Sus scrofa: one gene and its partners. The protein of the gene in region 2 binds, or shares a complex with, the protein of the main gene of each other region. Links are inferred from orthologs where the notes say so. Each region holds a gene or a part of one and is shown on either strand. Other genes may lie near its edges. The genes, in order: RIPK2, NGFR, TRADD and ARHGDIA.

Region 1 (4,115 bases), on a different chromosome or scaffold from region 2:
CCACTCATTGGGCAGAAGTCAGGTTATAGAGAACTCACCAATCACTAAAATAAGAATGAACATGTGACAGCACATAAATTTATTTTTCTTTCATGATTCCAAAGAACAAAGCAAACATTATCCACACCAGAGCCCAAGAAGTACATGTATTTGTATGCCTGGCTTTACAAGTGAGGAAATAGACACCTGTGAGTCAACAGCACAGCCTAGCCCTATGCTCAGACTACCAAAATACTGCTAATGTTAACATTCTAGGTAATAAGTGGGAGAAAAAAATGTGATGCAGTAATGCCAAAGCGTATCACTGGTTTTTATGGTTTCTTTGACAACAGAGTTAGTCTCCTTCCAAATTTAGTAAAGAATTTTAGATTATAAAAATTGTTAATGAGCATGGAAAGGAAACTCCATCTTCATTTCTTGGCCCCAAATGGCACAAAACTTAAATTAAAATCTTGAGAAGCAGATCCAAAATGGATCAATTTGCTTTAAAATACCTAATGAGTACATAAGTACTAGACTTCTACATTTTAAAACAGTTGATTCTAAAATATGTCCGCCTTCTTTAATCAATCACCACTCTTCAGAGCTGACTACATTCACATACACAACATTGCCCAGGACCTGCTCCACAGAATTCAAGGCCCAGGATAAACACACCCTGTATATCAGTAGGTCTGGATTATGGTACACAAAAAGTGTGAAAAATATCTAAAGATGTCTCAAACTTACTGTAAGATCTAGTCCATCCAAGCCTGACAACAAGAGAGCAAAGAAAAGCCCCAGGCAGATGAAAGTTAAATATTAGCAGTGCTGAAGCTGAGGAATTAATCTGCTATTGGATGCCTACAGCCTCTGGCCAATCAGGCATCTAGCATGATGTATTTTCACTTTAGACACAGGGAGGAGGAGAGGAGAATGTTGCAATCATGAATGTTAACTCACTAAGAATTGAATACAGGGCCTAGTTAAATTCCTGTTGGAAAGAAAATACACAAGACTGCTGACTAGATCACTGACTAATACATATGGTTCAAAGACTTTTCTGGAAACAGAAACCATTGCTAGCTGTCCCTTAAAAACTGGACAACTGCACTAATATTGTTGCTGGATTTGAAAGACATTCAAAAATTTTGGTCATATAACCATCTTCTGATTTTGGTTTATTGTTAGCAAAAAACAATATGTATTTCCTCTAGGGACAGGCTTCCTTCTCTGTGAGACTAAGGGTAGAAACCAAACTGAATTGAATTTGATATCTAAACTTTCATGACTACATGTAGCGAACCAAAACAACAATAAAAAGCCAAAACTGAAACATCCCTGACTCTAGAGCCATGCTGTGCAATAAAAATATGTGAGCCACACAATTAAAAATTTTCTAGCAGCCACTTTAAAAGTAAAAAGAAACACCTGAAATGAACTTTAATATATTTATCCCAGTGTATCAAAAATATCATCTTAGCATATCAATATAAAAGTATTAATGATATATATAATTTTTTCAATAGTGAGTGGTAGAAATCTGCTGTGTATTTTACACTTAGAGCACATTTCAGTTCAGAAAGCCACATTTCAAGTGCTCAAAAGCCACCTATGGTTAAGAGCTACCTATTGGGTAGAAACCCATCTACAAAAACAAAAAAACAAAAAATCAAAAAAACCAAAAACCCCAAAAAACAACAACAAAAACAGAAAAGAAGGGGTGAAAACAAAGCAAACAAAATCCAATTTCAGTAAAGAGGACGTTTAGAGTTGGGCTGTGACTGCAGATTTTTGGTGCCTGGAGAAAGTAAGGCCAAGGAGAGAAGGCTGTGAAAAGAAGTGCGATGGCTGCTGCATCTTCAGAGAAGCCAGTTTTCCCTATCAGGTTAGCCCTGAGCCTTGAAGGGCTGCCTAGCAGTGACGAATGGTAGGGCCGACTCCATGGTCACCGTCGTTTGGGCAGAAGAGCCCGCCAGCCCAGGGTTGGAGCCAGAGGGGACAGGGCACATACATTTCGGGACTCCGCGGGGGAACCGCTGGGGAGACTTACCTGTCAAGCAGTGGGGTGTGGATGTGCAAGTGCTTTACGGCCACCTGGATGCGCCAGTCTGCGTGGCGGGCGGACGACACGGTGCCGGACGCGCCACGGCTCAAGTAGCACAGGTCAGCGAGCTTTCGGTACGGGATGGTGGGCAGGGCGCTGCAGATGGCCTCCTCGTTCATGGTGGCGGGCGGCGCGGGCACTCGGCCACCAGCCGGTTCCGGGTGTGCCCGCTGTTCCCGCGGCTCCGTCCCAGCGCGCTCGGGGCGGCCAGCCCTCCCCGCTGTTGGACGCTAGGTCACGAGGTCATCCATTCCCCGAGCAGCCCACACCAAGCCGCAGCGTTTCCCGAGCCCGAGTACTCCTCTAGAGACTGGGGTCGCTGGGCGGGTGGAGGAGGAGCTTCCTCTCAGGCGCAGCCACCAGAGCCCGCCCTTCGGGGCTCCTCCCTCCCTAGACTTCTCAGTCGACGTCAGCGACTGACGCTAAAGCGACGAAGAGGGCCCCGGTACAGCCCGCGGTCCTTCCAGCTGGCTCCGGCCTCGATATGAGGCCAGGATTTCTGCCTGGTGGCGCCCAGAAAACCCGTGCCGCTTCGGCGGGGTACGGGCGGGCTTGGGATGGGGAAGGGAACCAGAGGCGCTCAATTTTGTCTTCTCTCCCCCCACCTGCTAGGTTTGGAAAGTTTGCTTTTGGGCACAGTTCCTCTCTGCAGCCTCATACCGGGCAGCAGCCCCCCCCCCCCCCCCTTACCCCGGAGGAATTTCCTCTGGGCCCCGAGTGTTCCGGGAGTCGCTAAACCCCGGAGGGGTGGCGGGGCGGGTGTGATGACTGACAACTAGGACTGTGCGCCTGCGCAGAATGTGCTTTGAGGGAATGCAGTGGTGACTAACCAGGACTCAGCTCTTGAACCCAGTGAGTCAGATAGGGGTAAATTTACCTGCCTATCTGAACTCCAATCTTCCATTACTTCCAGCTACTTCAGTCTTGAGGGGGTGGATTGTCGGAGTTTAACCCCGACAAAAAGTTCAGCTGTTTAGTTCACTATGAGACCTATTTCTCTTACTCCTTCCCCCACCCCCAAAGTCCACAATTATAGACAGAGATTGAAAAATAACCTTCAGTCTCTCCTTCCCTCTGATTCCAGGTAAGACTGAAAACGCTTGTCTTATAGATCTGGGAAGAAAACAGTGTTTAATGTCAGTCAGAAAAAACTGCAAACATCTGTTCATCTTTTTACCTTAAACACTTTTCTACTGAAATGACTATTTTGCAAAGTGTGCGTGCAAATATATGCAATACCAAGATCATGCCAGACATTTAATGAATTCTAAGACAAAAGTAATAAGGAATGCCTGATTTCAATGAGAGATTTTTGCCTAAAGAGAATCGGTGCTTCCTTTTTTGTATTGTCTGAAATGATAGTGGCAATGTTACATTTTACAATAAATGGAAACTGTAATGAGAGTGTTTTAAAATTTGATCATTCAAAATAAAATGTCTAGCTTCAAAGATATGGTCTGATAATCTGTGGTTTATTACTTAATAAGCTTTTTGCTCAAAAAGTGCTCAGAAAACTTTTTCCTTTCATTCTTTCATCCAGTTAAAAAAGAGTTCCAAAGAGAGTAAAATGTAAATAAAGAGGAAATGATCAAAATAACAATTTAAGAAATTTTTCCAGTATCAAAGGACAAAGGTCTTCATATTGAAAGGGCCCATTAGCTCCTCACAGTGAATGAAAAAAGACCTATATCTTTAAAATTTTTTACATTTTTTGTTAGAGTATAGTTGATACACAGTATTATGTCAATTTCTGCTGTACAACATAGTGACCCAGTCATACTTATATGTGCATTTTTTTTCCTCATATGGTCTTCCATCATGCTCTACCCCAAGAAATTGGATATAGTTCCCTGTGTTGTACAGTAGGACCTCATTGCTTATTAATTCTAAATGTAATAGTTTGCATAAAGATACATATTAAAACACATCAATAAAAAGATAAGAACCCTAAGAAAGAAAAGATTCCAAAAGTTTTCGGAGGGAAGAAACAAAAAAATGAATGGGAATTAGAATGGCATTGGATTTCTCA
Region 2 (3,562 bases):
GCTGAAGGTATGGTGGGGGGCGGGGGGGCCGTCAGGGAATCCGGCGTCACAGAGATTGGAGAGAAGTGGGAAAGAGCTGAGAGAGGGCGGAGGATGGACCAGGCTGAAGACAGCGCCTTCCAAGGTGCTTTCCCCACATCTCTCCAATCTATACCCCCCGCCCCCCCTTGGGAGGGAAGCAGGGGATGAGATCCAGATGTGGCCATGTCCACTAGCATTCCAACCCACCAAGCCCTCGGCAGGTCCTGACAGCCATTTCCGGAATGGGAGCTGTCAGGCGTGGGGGTGGAAGGAGGGACCAGGTTACCTTTCCTAAACCCAACTTTCTTTGGTTGGTGGTGGTGGTAGGGGGGTGTGTTTCTGCCCCCAGGGTGGGTGAGTCACCATGTTGACACCTGAAATGAATGCGCAAGGAAGTACCCTGCACTGGGGCAGAGGCGGGGGCAACCAAAGCAGGAATCAAATTCCAGTTCCAGAAACGTTCCCTCTGCCCTAGAGCTGACATTGACCCCTTCAGAGGCTAGAACCGGGGGTGGGGGTGGGGAACAGAGATAAATGCCCCCCTTCAGGGTGGCTGGGAAAGCCCACTCCCCAAAAGCAGAACCCCCCCCCTCCCCCAGCCACCACCTTCCTTTGCTCTAACTGAGCCCCTGCCTGCCCACCTGCCAGCTGGTCAGGACTTGCCCGCAGACCGGTGCTGCCCGCCTGCCCGCCTGCAGGCTGCTGAAACTCCCTCCCTGCTCTGCTCTGTGCCTGATGCTACTTGCCTGTCTCCTGGCCCAGGGCAATTGCCACCGGAACCCCCTTGTTCTCTTCCCCCCCGCCCCTGCTCCTCCACCCTGACCCCACATCTGAATACAGGAAGAAGCTTCTCACACATACCTGGCTTCAGCCCAGCTTAATAGCCTTCTCCACCCTGAGGTCCCTGTGCAAGGGGGGGGATCACAGGATGTGGAAGGAAGGCATGGGTGTGTCAGACTAGAGGCTCCCCGGGCAGGCTTCTATCACTCCCTTGCGACTCGGGGCTGACTGGGGCAGGGGGGCAATGCAGCCTCCGCCAGAATGAAGGATCTCCCAGGAACTAAGTGCTGGGACCGCCTCTCCCTCATCAGACTCGGGCAAAGGCCGTCTGTGTCCTGTCCAACTCAGGGCTCCTTGGTGGAGGCTCGGTGCCGCCTGCTCAGAGTGAGGGCACCACCCTGAGGGTTGGGTCCCCAGGGGAAAGAGCGAAATGTGTGCCCAGCCATGGGGTGATTGACAGAAAGCAAAGGCCCTGTCAGTCTCTCCCCCAAGATGGATGTCCCCAACCAGAGACCAAAACAGTTCTGTCCTGGCTGCCACAGGGTGTCCTCCTCCCACCCCAGGAACTGCCCCCATCTGGCGAAGGTGGGCACCCTCAGCTCCCATCCACCCCGGTGTGGGGGGAGTGGGGGGAGGCAAAGGGCCGTCTGTGTGCACCTGTCTCGTCCTCTGGCTCCCGAGCCCCAGGCCTGCTGCTTCCTTTCTTTCTCTGTCCCCAAGCTCCTATCCCCACAACCACTTAGTGTGTGTTCCCGGGGTCCAACTTCATCCTTGACTCAACTGTACCAGTGACTGCTGACCCCTCTCCCACCAGGGGAAGGGAGCCAGCCCCCTTCCCTAACCCACAGCAACCCTGGAAACCCGATGACCAGTAAGGAGACAGGTCCAGAGGCAGGAGTGACTTCCTTGACTTCAAGCAGATAGTAAGGGACAGGGTGGATTCTATCCCAGGTCCCAGAACCATAAACCACTAAGCGCCCAACCCCCAGGACCCTCGGGCCCCTCCTCCAGTTCAGAGAGTCGGCCTCAAGGATCAAACATGTCCTATCTGTGCCTCTGCACACAGAGGCCACCTCTGGGCTGCTTAACTGTCACCCCTCCAATCCCCAGTCAGTAGCCACAGATTAATAAAGCCTTGGAAAAGGAGTGGGGCCTGGGAGGAGGCGCATGGCTTTCCAACCACTTAGCCCAAAGGCGGAAATAGTGGACGGGGTCCCTTGGTGGGAAGGCTTGGGAGGATGCCCGCTGGCTCGAGGCCACAGGGCTGTCCTGCCGGCCAGGACCCAGCCTGCCTGCCCCAGGTCCGCTCCGCGCACACTCACCCTCGCACTCCGCGTCGGCCCAGCGCGTGCACTCGCGAAGCTGGCGCTCGGTGTCCTCGCACACCGTGCAGGGCAGGCACGGGTCCACGTGGTTGGCCTCGTCGGAGTACGTGCCGTCGGGGCACTCCTCGCACACGGTGTTCTGCTTATCCTGGCACGAGAACACCAGCCCCGAGCCCGCCTCGCACACGCGACACGCCTCGCAGCGGCCGGTCGTCTCGTCCTGGTAGTAGCCGTAGGCGCAGCGGCACACGGCGTCGTCCGCCTCCACGCAGGGCGCTGACATGCTCTGCAGCCCCACGCACTCGGTGCACGGCTTACACGGCTCGGTGGCGCTCACCACGTCCGAGAAGGTCACGCCTGAGGACAGATGGACGCGCGGGGAAGTTGCGCCCCAGTTTAGTTTCCTCTCCTTGGGGGCACGTAGGATGCAGAGGCTGGAAGCCTTCCTGCCCCATCCCCGGCCAGGGCCAGGGCTCTGACCCCCTCGTTTCGCCCCGCTCCCCCCATTTTGACTCCCACCCCCTCCCCTGGGGTCAAAGCTGGTGGCAGGAGCCTGGGAAGGAGGAAGGGAGCCGAGAGCCCCCAGCTCCAGACCCCGGAAGCTCTGGCCCTGGGGTTTCCCAGGGGTAACCCAGCCACTGCTGGTACATTTTTTGGACAAACTCTTTTAAAGAGTTCCCAGCGTGATTAAGGAATAATCTGAGCATGGTTCCCATCCAGCCCTCCCTGCAGGCCAGAGTTGAGCTGTGAACCCAGCCCAGGCACAGCCGGCCTTCCCCAGGGAGCCTCCTTCCATCCCTTTCGGCACAGGTGGGAGCAGGTGTGTCCTGAATGGGAGTGACTAGGGTTAGACAACAGAATTTCCCACCCACGGCGCTGCTACTCCTGGCTGCTAGAAGGGCTTGGCTCTTGAGGGCAGGGATGGACTCCTGGCACGAAAGCTACAGCAGGAGGGATCCGGGCTAGAAAGAAAAAGGACTTGCACATATAGTCCAGCGCCCTTTCAAATGGCACGAGGGAAATATTTTCAAGCTCATGCTTGACTCACGCTCAATTAAGGGGCGGGAGCTCCAGAATCAGGGCATGGATGTGCTGGGGATGCCAGAGTCCTTGCATCCTCGTGCAAAGAGGCAGGAAGGCACAGAGCCAGAACGTCACCCCTTCCAGCCCAAGGTGGAGAAATTGACGCCAGACTGAATCCAAGAGGCTGGAAGAGCACAGGTTTAGAACCTGACAACTGGGGTAGGAGGACTGCCCAGAAGGCGGAAGCAGGGGTAGAGATATTAGGAGCCCACTGGAGGGAAACTGAAGCTTGCTGGGGGCAGGGGGGTCCTAAATCTTAAGCTTCTCTAAAGGCATCAAGAGCCAAGATGGAGCGCAGGGTCATTATTTTGGCGGCTGAGGGTGGGGCTGGAGAAGCAAAGAAGAGAAAAGCA
Region 3 (2,343 bases), on a different chromosome or scaffold from region 2:
GCCCCTTTTTCTACTCTGCAAAGTCTCCCACATCCCTTGTGCCCACCCTCATTTGAGGATTCAAGGACGGGGCTAAAGTGACACCCACTCCGTCTTAAGGTGCTCTCTGTGAGAGGTCTTGGCCTTTATTCTGGGTTGTTGTTGTCTGCCTCCCAATTTTGCTTCCCTGCTGGGAGCTCTGGGTTATACCCTTGCCCCCAGGTCTGGGGATAGGGAGGGAGTCTGACCTCGGGCTTCGTTCCTCCTCTGGCCTCTTGGAGAACGGGCCCGATAGGGGACCTCGTGGTGCCTGACTGCCCGCCTCCGCAGAGAGTGGCGGGAGCCCGGAGGAGCTGCAGATGCTCAAGATTCACCGCAGCGATCCGCAGCTGATTGTTCAATTGCGTTTCTGTGGGCGCCAGGCCTGCAGCCGCTTCCTCCGGGCCTACCGCGAGGGGGCACTGCGCACCGCTCTGCAGGCGTGCTTGGAGGCTGCTCTGGCCCTGAGTTCCGTGCCTTTGCAACTGGAGCTGCGCGCCAGCGCAGAGCGGCTGGACGCCTTGCTGACAGACGAGGAACGCTGTTTGAATTTCATCTTCGCCCAGAAGGTGCGGCCGGGCTGGGGCCAGGGTGAGGTGGGGTGGGGATCCGAGGCTAAGACCCCACCAATGCCGCACTCTCCTCCCTAGCCTGACCGGCTCCGGGATGAGGAACTCACAGAGTTGGAGGATGCGCTCAGAAATCTGACCTGCGGCTCAGGGGGCCAAGGGGGTGACGTGGAGGGCGCTCCAGCCACCTCTACTGCGGAGAAGCTGCCGCCACCGCCGTCTGGCCAGACTTTTCTGTTCCAGGGTCAGCCTGTCGGTGAGGTGCCCGGAGAGCGGCAAAGGCTGGGTCCTCTGTAGGATGGAGTCTGGGGAGGGGCGAGGTCTGGGCAGGATAGTCGCAGGGTGGGAATGGAAGTGTCTCCTCTCCCCAGCTCACGCCACTTCCCATTCCCCCTGCAGTGAACCGGCCGCTGAGCCTGCAGGACCAACTGACGTTTGCGCGCTCAGTGGGCCTCAAGTGGCGCAAGGTGGGGCGCTCCTTGCAGCGTGGTTGCCGGGCGCTGCGGGACCCGGCTCTTGACTCACTGGCCTATGAATACGAGCGCGAAGGGCTGTACGAGCAGGCCTTTCAGCTGCTGCGGCGCTTTGTGCAGGCCGAGGGCCGCCGAGCCACGCTGCAGCGCCTGGTAGAGGCCCTTGAGGAGAACGAGCTCACCAGCCTGGCAGAAGACTTGCTGGGCCTGGCGAATCCCGATGGCAGCCTGGCCTAGACTGAGTACCAGAGAAAGAGGGTGGTCAGCCAGTTGCCCAGCCAGGGTTTGGGGCACCTGGATGACCATAGGTTCCCTTCTGCTGCTACTGCTGATCTTCTGTCCATCCATGGGACTCTGAGATGACACTCAACCCCACTTCGCTGAGCTGCTGGAGCTGCTGGGCAGAGGTGACTGCCCTCTCCGGGAGACGGACAAGCATCCATTATGCCTGCTGGAGGTTCTGCTCTAAATACTATGATAGAGACAGAGTTAACTGGTGACCTGCTGCAGAAGTCTGCCTCACCCTCTCCCACCCCAGAAGAGGGGCTTTCAGCCAGACCTTACCTCTTCATTCACCGAATGAACAATTATTATTCATTAATTCATTAAGGACCTGCTGTATCTTAGGCATCATCTTAAGTGTTCCAAATATTGTGCTGAAACAAGATACACGAATCCTGCCTGCTCCCAGTTGACACTCAGTATGGTACTCTGAATATTAAGCATCAGTAATAAAATACTACCCACTTTTTGATGTGAAAAATACAAGGAATTGGGGTTGCAGCTGAGCAGGGGTGAAACTTCCTGGGAGAGAAATGAGTATGAATGGGGGGAGGGGAAGAGAAAGTCAATATTCTGGGCATGGCCAGACTCAGCTGAGGTCTTAAGGAAGCTGAGAGGGAGGGCTTAGACTGAGAAGGTTTAGACTGGCTGGCTCTAGGGGTAGGTGGATTTGCAGAGACCTGTTGGTGAGTGGGGGAGGCAGATGGCATGGGGCCTGGTAAGCCATTTTGAGTTGGATTTTATCCAGAGGCCAATGAGAAGCCTTTAAAGGGTTTTGGTAGATGAGGCTGGGAGGCTGGTAAGGATGCAGACTGAGAGAGGACAGTGGTCCAGACTGCAGCAGCTGGCAGCAGAGATGGAGGGAAGGGATGAACCCTGAGAGCTGTTCAGGACAAAGGATAACAAGCTTGGTGGAGAGGACCTCAAAGTTTCTGCCTTTGCCAGCTGGGTGGAGGGTGGAGCTGCCTGCCGAGATAGGGGTCCTGGGGGAGGTGAAGTGC
Region 4 (4,002 bases), about 25 Mb from region 2:
CGGCACTTTGGTCTGGGGTCCGGGGGATGGGGGGGGTGGGGGGGCACGTCCTCGACCTCGGCCGCCCTGCCCGCCTCCCTCCGGCCGCAGCTCAGTCCTTCCACTCCTTCTTGATGGTGAGGTTCCACTCCCAGGACAGGTGGTCGGTCCTGTCGTCGTCTGTGAAGCGCGACTTGATGCTGTAGCTGCCTCGAGCCAGCATGCCCTTGGGCGCCTCCTCCATGGGCGTCAGGAACTCATACTCCTCCGCCCGGGGCCCGTAGCTCCCCACCATGTAATCGGTCTTGTCGACTGCGATGCAGGGAACACAGCCGTCAGGAGGCAGCTCTGCTCCCCACCCCCCGGGTCTCCCTCCCTCCTGGGGGCTGGGGGCCCCGCTCACTCACTCTTGACCCCCTTCCTGTACGTGTGCTGGATGTACTTCATGCCCGACACGATCTCTCGGTTCACCTGCAGGGAGGCACCCCGAGCAGGGCTCAGCGAGGCTTTCCCACCCAGGCCCCGCACCTCCCCGACGCCGGCGCCTTACCCGGAAAGAGATCTTTATCCGGTATTCCACACCCTCCTTCAGCACAAAGGATTGCTTCTTGAAACTCTCCAGATCTCCTGAATTTGAGAGAAAGACCATGCTAGGAAGTTCACCCAAAGGAAGTCACCTCCCACCATCCTGGGCACCCCAGACGCAAGACTGGAAAAGCCACAACCCCTGTAAGAGGACTCGGCTGCACTTCTTGTGCTCCCCAGCAGAGGGCGCCAGCAGCCCGAGAAACTATTTTTAGCGGAAGCAGCCGACCGCTGCGGCCCCAGCCAGGAACCTCGGAGAGGCCACTCACCTGTCAGGTCCAGCTCTAGAGGCCCTGGGGCAGTGCTACACACCAGGGTCAGGCGGGTCACCACGACATTGGGGACGTTGGGGTCTGCAAAGTGATCGCAAGTTAGAATTCTGCGGGGGGGGGGGGGGGGGGGTAAATAGCGGCAGACACCCAGGAAAGCCACGGGTACCCGCGCTCCTGTCCACTCACCAGCAGACACGGCCACGCGGCCCAACAGGGCCTCCTTGTACTTGCGCAAACTCTCGTCGTCCTTGTCCAGCTCCTGGATCTCCTGGATGCTCTTCTGGGCCGGGGGCTTGTAGTTGACCGAGTGCTCGTCCTCCTCGTTCTCAGCTGCAATCTGTGCCAGCTGCTCGGCGGTGGGCTCCTGCTCAGCCATGCTCTCTTCTAGCGGGGTCTGGGACACCTGTGGGCAGGGTGGCATGGGCTGTGGCAGCCTGGAGGAACCCAGCGTCGCCCCTTCTAGCCCTTCTGCAGGTCCCACTGGTGATCAGTGTTGGATCTTCCTCCACAGGTGGCCAAGCCTCCATGTGGGCCCAAGAGCAGGCGCATCCTCTGTAACAGGAAGGCCATGACAGCCAGAACGTCGAAAAGGGCCCGGAAACAGTCTCCCGAGGCCCAGAAGGGCCACCTTCACCTCCTCATCCTGCCCACCTCAGGGGACCCAATTCCAGGTCCACAGTATCCAGGGCTAGAGAGGCCCCAGCCTGCCCCTTGCAAAGACCAGGGACAGCTCCCCTGCTTCCAGGAAGCAGCAGCACCCCAGACCTACCTAGCAGGGTCAGGACCAAGTCCTGCTGCTTGTCCTGAATCGCCCAGGGGCTCACCTCAAGAGATCCCTCCTACTGACTATTGCTGATCGGTCTGTTCCTTCAGGCCTGTCCTAAATGTCTGTGCAGGCTACAAGTTAGTTCTTTCTCACCCTACAAACACAAGGCTCTCCTAAGGCTCAGATGACAGGGCTAGCCTGAGTCGCACAGATAAATCCTGAAATGGACGAGGGACCCTAAATGTCTGCCAACCTTATCTCCAGCTGTGAGGGTTCAGAGACCTAGAATTTGGAAACTGCTCTAGACGTGTGGGAATTTCAGGAGCCCCCTTCGGGATCCTCGCCCAGAAGAGCTCGCAGCAGTGCCATCAAAGAGAGGAGCAGTGCATAGGGCAGCCACTGGTCTTCTTTCACTAAGAATGACCATCGCATACCCCCCCCGGAATCCCCGAGCAGTATCTGAAACCCGCTCGGACCCGACTCGGTGGTGTGGGAGGTGGGTCAGGGCCGCCGTTGTCCGTAAAGACAGCCAAAGCCGGGATGTGCGCGCGGACAAGATCTCACAAAGGGCCGCGGGGGACCCGGAACCACCCGGCCGCCGAAGGCAGGGTGGGGCCCGGCCCGTATTTCCAGACCTCCTAGTCGCTTCCTCTGGAATTCCTCTAGAAAGCTCACGCCCTAACGCCACTCAAGCGCGGCCGCAGGCGACAGGATCCTCTAAGTGCGATCGCGCGGCGCGCACTTCCTGCAGGGCCCGCAATCTGGACAGGGCGCGGCAGGCGCGCGGGGTGGGGCGCGGGGGCCACACGGCTCAGGCGAGTGGGCGTCCGGCCGGAGCAGGCTGGCGTGCACCGGCGAGGAGGGAGCCGCTGAGCACGAGCTGCGACCACAAAAGAGGCCTGCACCTCTGTGCATCCCCAGCTCCCGCCCCCGGCCCCTACGCCCCCACCTCTCGCCTTCCAGCTCCCTCGCCGCCGCCTCCCTCCTCCGGCGTCCCCGATTCGCACGTGGGCTGCCCCGGCGCCCCGGCCGCCGCCCGCTGTCACCGCCGCCCCCGCCCAGCGCAGACCCTTCGGGTGGGCAGGCAGGAGGGCGGGGCGGGCGGGGCGGGCGGCGGGAACAAAGGCGCGGCCCCCCGCCTCCCCCTCCGCGGCTGCCCCGCCCGCTAGCCCACCGCACCAGCCGGCCCCGCCGCCCGCGCTCACCGGAGCCTCGACCGCGCCGCTCTCGCGCTCCCTCCCGCACGGAATGACGAACGTCGCCGCCCCACCCGCGCGCGCCCGGCCGGCCACTTCCGGGATCACGCGACTTCCGCTCGCGCCGGGCGGGCTCCGGAGAGCGCATGCGTGCGCGGGGGCTGCTGGGAGCGCGCCGCGGCCATCTTGAGATCCCGGCTTGTGGGCGCGTCCCGCGTGGGCAGCGAGCGGGGAGCCCTGTGGAGGCCGGTAGGGTTGGGGTTCTGCGCCCTTTGGCACCTGCGTTTCCTGGTCCGGGGCGTCCCCGCGGGTCAACCCGCAAGCTAAAGGGGCGAGGCAGTGGCTCGCGGACGGTGGGCGTGGCACGCGAGGCGCAGGCGTGTCTCTCGGGCACGCAGCCGTCACACCGCGGGGACGCGCTAGTCGGGCAGCCCCCGTCCCCGAAACCAGCGCGCCGTCCCTGCCTTTCCTTCCTTTCCAGACCCGTCAGCGTTTGGCCGCCCTGCCGGGAGCGCTCCTTCACGAAGAGAAACTCAGCATCGGGAGCGGCTCTGTGCCGCTCGTGACTCCGGAAGCCCCTGGCTCAGCCGCCACCGTCCCCCGGGGTCTCCACCCGGAGCGCCGGGGCTGGGGGCGCGCGTGATTTGTGGCCGGCGGGATGGAGCCCGCGCTGCCGAGGGCCCCCAGCGCTCGTCTCTCCGCGTGGGGTCCAAGCCCTCCGCTCCACGGCGCGGTCACGTACGCTCACCTGGATGGCGCATCGGCTTGTTAGGCGGTAGAAGCGATAGAACTGCGAAATACTGATCTTAGTATTTTTGGAAATGTCTCAACTTGCGCCAGTTTGGGGAATACTGTCAGCTTTCTGTGTAGAAAGTTGAGCTGGCCAAAGGCAGAGCATTCCAAGCTGGTTGGTTCCTGGGATGTGCTTCGCAGGCGTCCTGTTACTGGAAGCTGCAACGCCAGAGCCGGGCGTCCTGCCTCGCTGCCAAACTGCTTTCCAGTAACCCAAGTGCCTTTTACTTTATTTATTCTTTTTTTTTTTTTTTTTTGTCTTTTTTTTGTCTTTTTGCTATTTCTTTGGGCCGCTCCCGCGGCATATGGAGGTTCCCAGGCTAGGGGTTGAATTGGAGCTGTAGCCACCGGCCTATGCCAGAGCCACAGCAACGCAGGATCCCAGCCGTGTCTGCAACCTACACCACAGCTC

What was found.
Region 1: the proteins of NGFR (region 2) and RIPK2 are in contact, whole or in part, in an NMR structure (PDB 2N83), measured with the Homo sapiens proteins. The link is inferred for Sus scrofa from reciprocal best matches to the Homo sapiens genes NGFR and RIPK2. Residues at the interface, in NP_002498.1 of Homo sapiens: Gly334, Leu335, Ser338, Leu339, Pro340, Lys343, Val347, Ser354, Ala355, Asp357, Arg360, His361, Gly364, Glu365, Tyr368, Pro370, Ile373, Asp374, Leu398, Asp399, Leu401, Leu402, Arg406, Arg407, Ile408, Gln409, Arg410, Ala411, Asp412, Val414; in NP_003812.1 of Homo sapiens: Gln437, Ser465, Arg466, Asp467, Leu468, Met470, Glu472, Asp495, Ile496, Gln497, Gly498, Glu499, Glu500, Lys503, Ile523, Leu524, Val526, Ser527, Arg528, Ser529, Pro530, Ser531, Leu532, Asn533, Leu534, Gln536.
Region 3: the proteins of NGFR (region 2) and TRADD are in contact, whole or in part, in an NMR structure (PDB 7CSQ), measured with the Homo sapiens proteins. The link is inferred for Sus scrofa from reciprocal best matches to the Homo sapiens genes NGFR and TRADD. Residues at the interface, in NP_002498.1 of Homo sapiens: Glu345, Glu346, Glu348, Lys349, Leu350, Asn352, Gly353, Ser354, Ala355, Glu379, Ala380, Cys381, Arg384, Glu420; in NP_001310481.1 of Homo sapiens: Thr201, Phe202, Asn211, Ala275, Glu276, Arg278, Arg279, Thr281, Gln283, Arg284, Glu287.
Region 4: the proteins of NGFR (region 2) and ARHGDIA are in contact, whole or in part, in an NMR structure (PDB 8X8T), measured with the Homo sapiens proteins. The link is inferred for Sus scrofa from reciprocal best matches to the Homo sapiens genes NGFR and ARHGDIA. Residues at the interface, in NP_002498.1 of Homo sapiens: Arg274, Trp275, Ser277, Cys278, Lys279, Gln280, Lys282, Gln283, Gly284, Ala285, Ser287, Arg288, Pro289, Val290, Asn291, Gln292, Thr293, Pro294, Pro295, Pro296, Glu299, Lys300, Leu301, Ile307, Ser308, Val309, Gln312, Ser313, Asp316, Gln317; in NP_001172006.1 of Homo sapiens: Ala8, Glu9, Leu11, Ala12, Gln13, Ile14, Ala15, Ala16, Glu17, Asn18, Glu19, Glu20, Asp21, Glu22, Val25, Pro30, Ala31, Gln32, Lys33, Ile35, Gln36, Glu37, Ile38, Gln39, Glu40, Leu41, Asp42, Lys43, Asp44, Asp45.

What each region holds. Positions count from the first base shown.
Region 1 is NC_010446.5:47,072,313-47,076,427, forward strand, and holds the start of RIPK2 (receptor-interacting serine/threonine-protein kinase 2), read right to left. Parts: upstream 2,822-4,115; 5' UTR 2,206-2,821; coding exon 2,033-2,205; intron 1-2,032.
Region 2 is NC_010454.4:25,709,408-25,712,969, reverse strand, and holds part of NGFR (tumor necrosis factor receptor superfamily member 16), read right to left. Parts: intron 2,484-3,562; coding exon 2,124-2,483; intron 1-2,123. UniProt on the Homo sapiens protein: Low affinity receptor which can bind to NGF, BDNF, NTF3, and NTF4. Forms a heterodimeric receptor with SORCS2 that binds the precursor forms of NGF, BDNF and NTF3 with high affinity, and has much lower affinity for mature NGF and BDNF.
Region 3 is NC_010448.4:27,797,074-27,799,416, reverse strand, and holds the end of TRADD (tumor necrosis factor receptor type 1-associated DEATH domain protein), read left to right. Parts: intron 1-94; exon of another isoform or gene 95-309; coding exon 310-587; exon of another isoform or gene 588-668; coding exon 669-843; exon of another isoform or gene 844-986; coding exon 987-1,297; 3' UTR 1,298-1,823; downstream 1,824-2,343. UniProt on the Homo sapiens protein: Adapter molecule for TNFRSF1A/TNFR1 that specifically associates with the cytoplasmic domain of activated TNFRSF1A/TNFR1 mediating its interaction with FADD.
Region 4 is NC_010454.4:1,112,247-1,116,248, reverse strand, and holds the start of ARHGDIA (rho GDP-dissociation inhibitor 1), read right to left. Parts: upstream 2,855-4,002; 5' UTR 2,808-2,854; intron 2,576-2,807; exon of another isoform or gene 2,552-2,575; intron 2,478-2,551; exon of another isoform or gene 2,238-2,477; intron 1,389-2,237; exon of another isoform or gene 1,258-1,388; coding exon of another isoform or gene 1,213-1,257; coding exon 1,023-1,212; intron 918-1,022; coding exon 834-917; intron 607-833; coding exon 530-606; intron 451-529; coding exon 387-450; intron 292-386; coding exon 92-291; 3' UTR 1-91. UniProt on the Homo sapiens protein: Controls Rho proteins homeostasis. Regulates the GDP/GTP exchange reaction of the Rho proteins by inhibiting the dissociation of GDP from them, and the subsequent binding of GTP to them.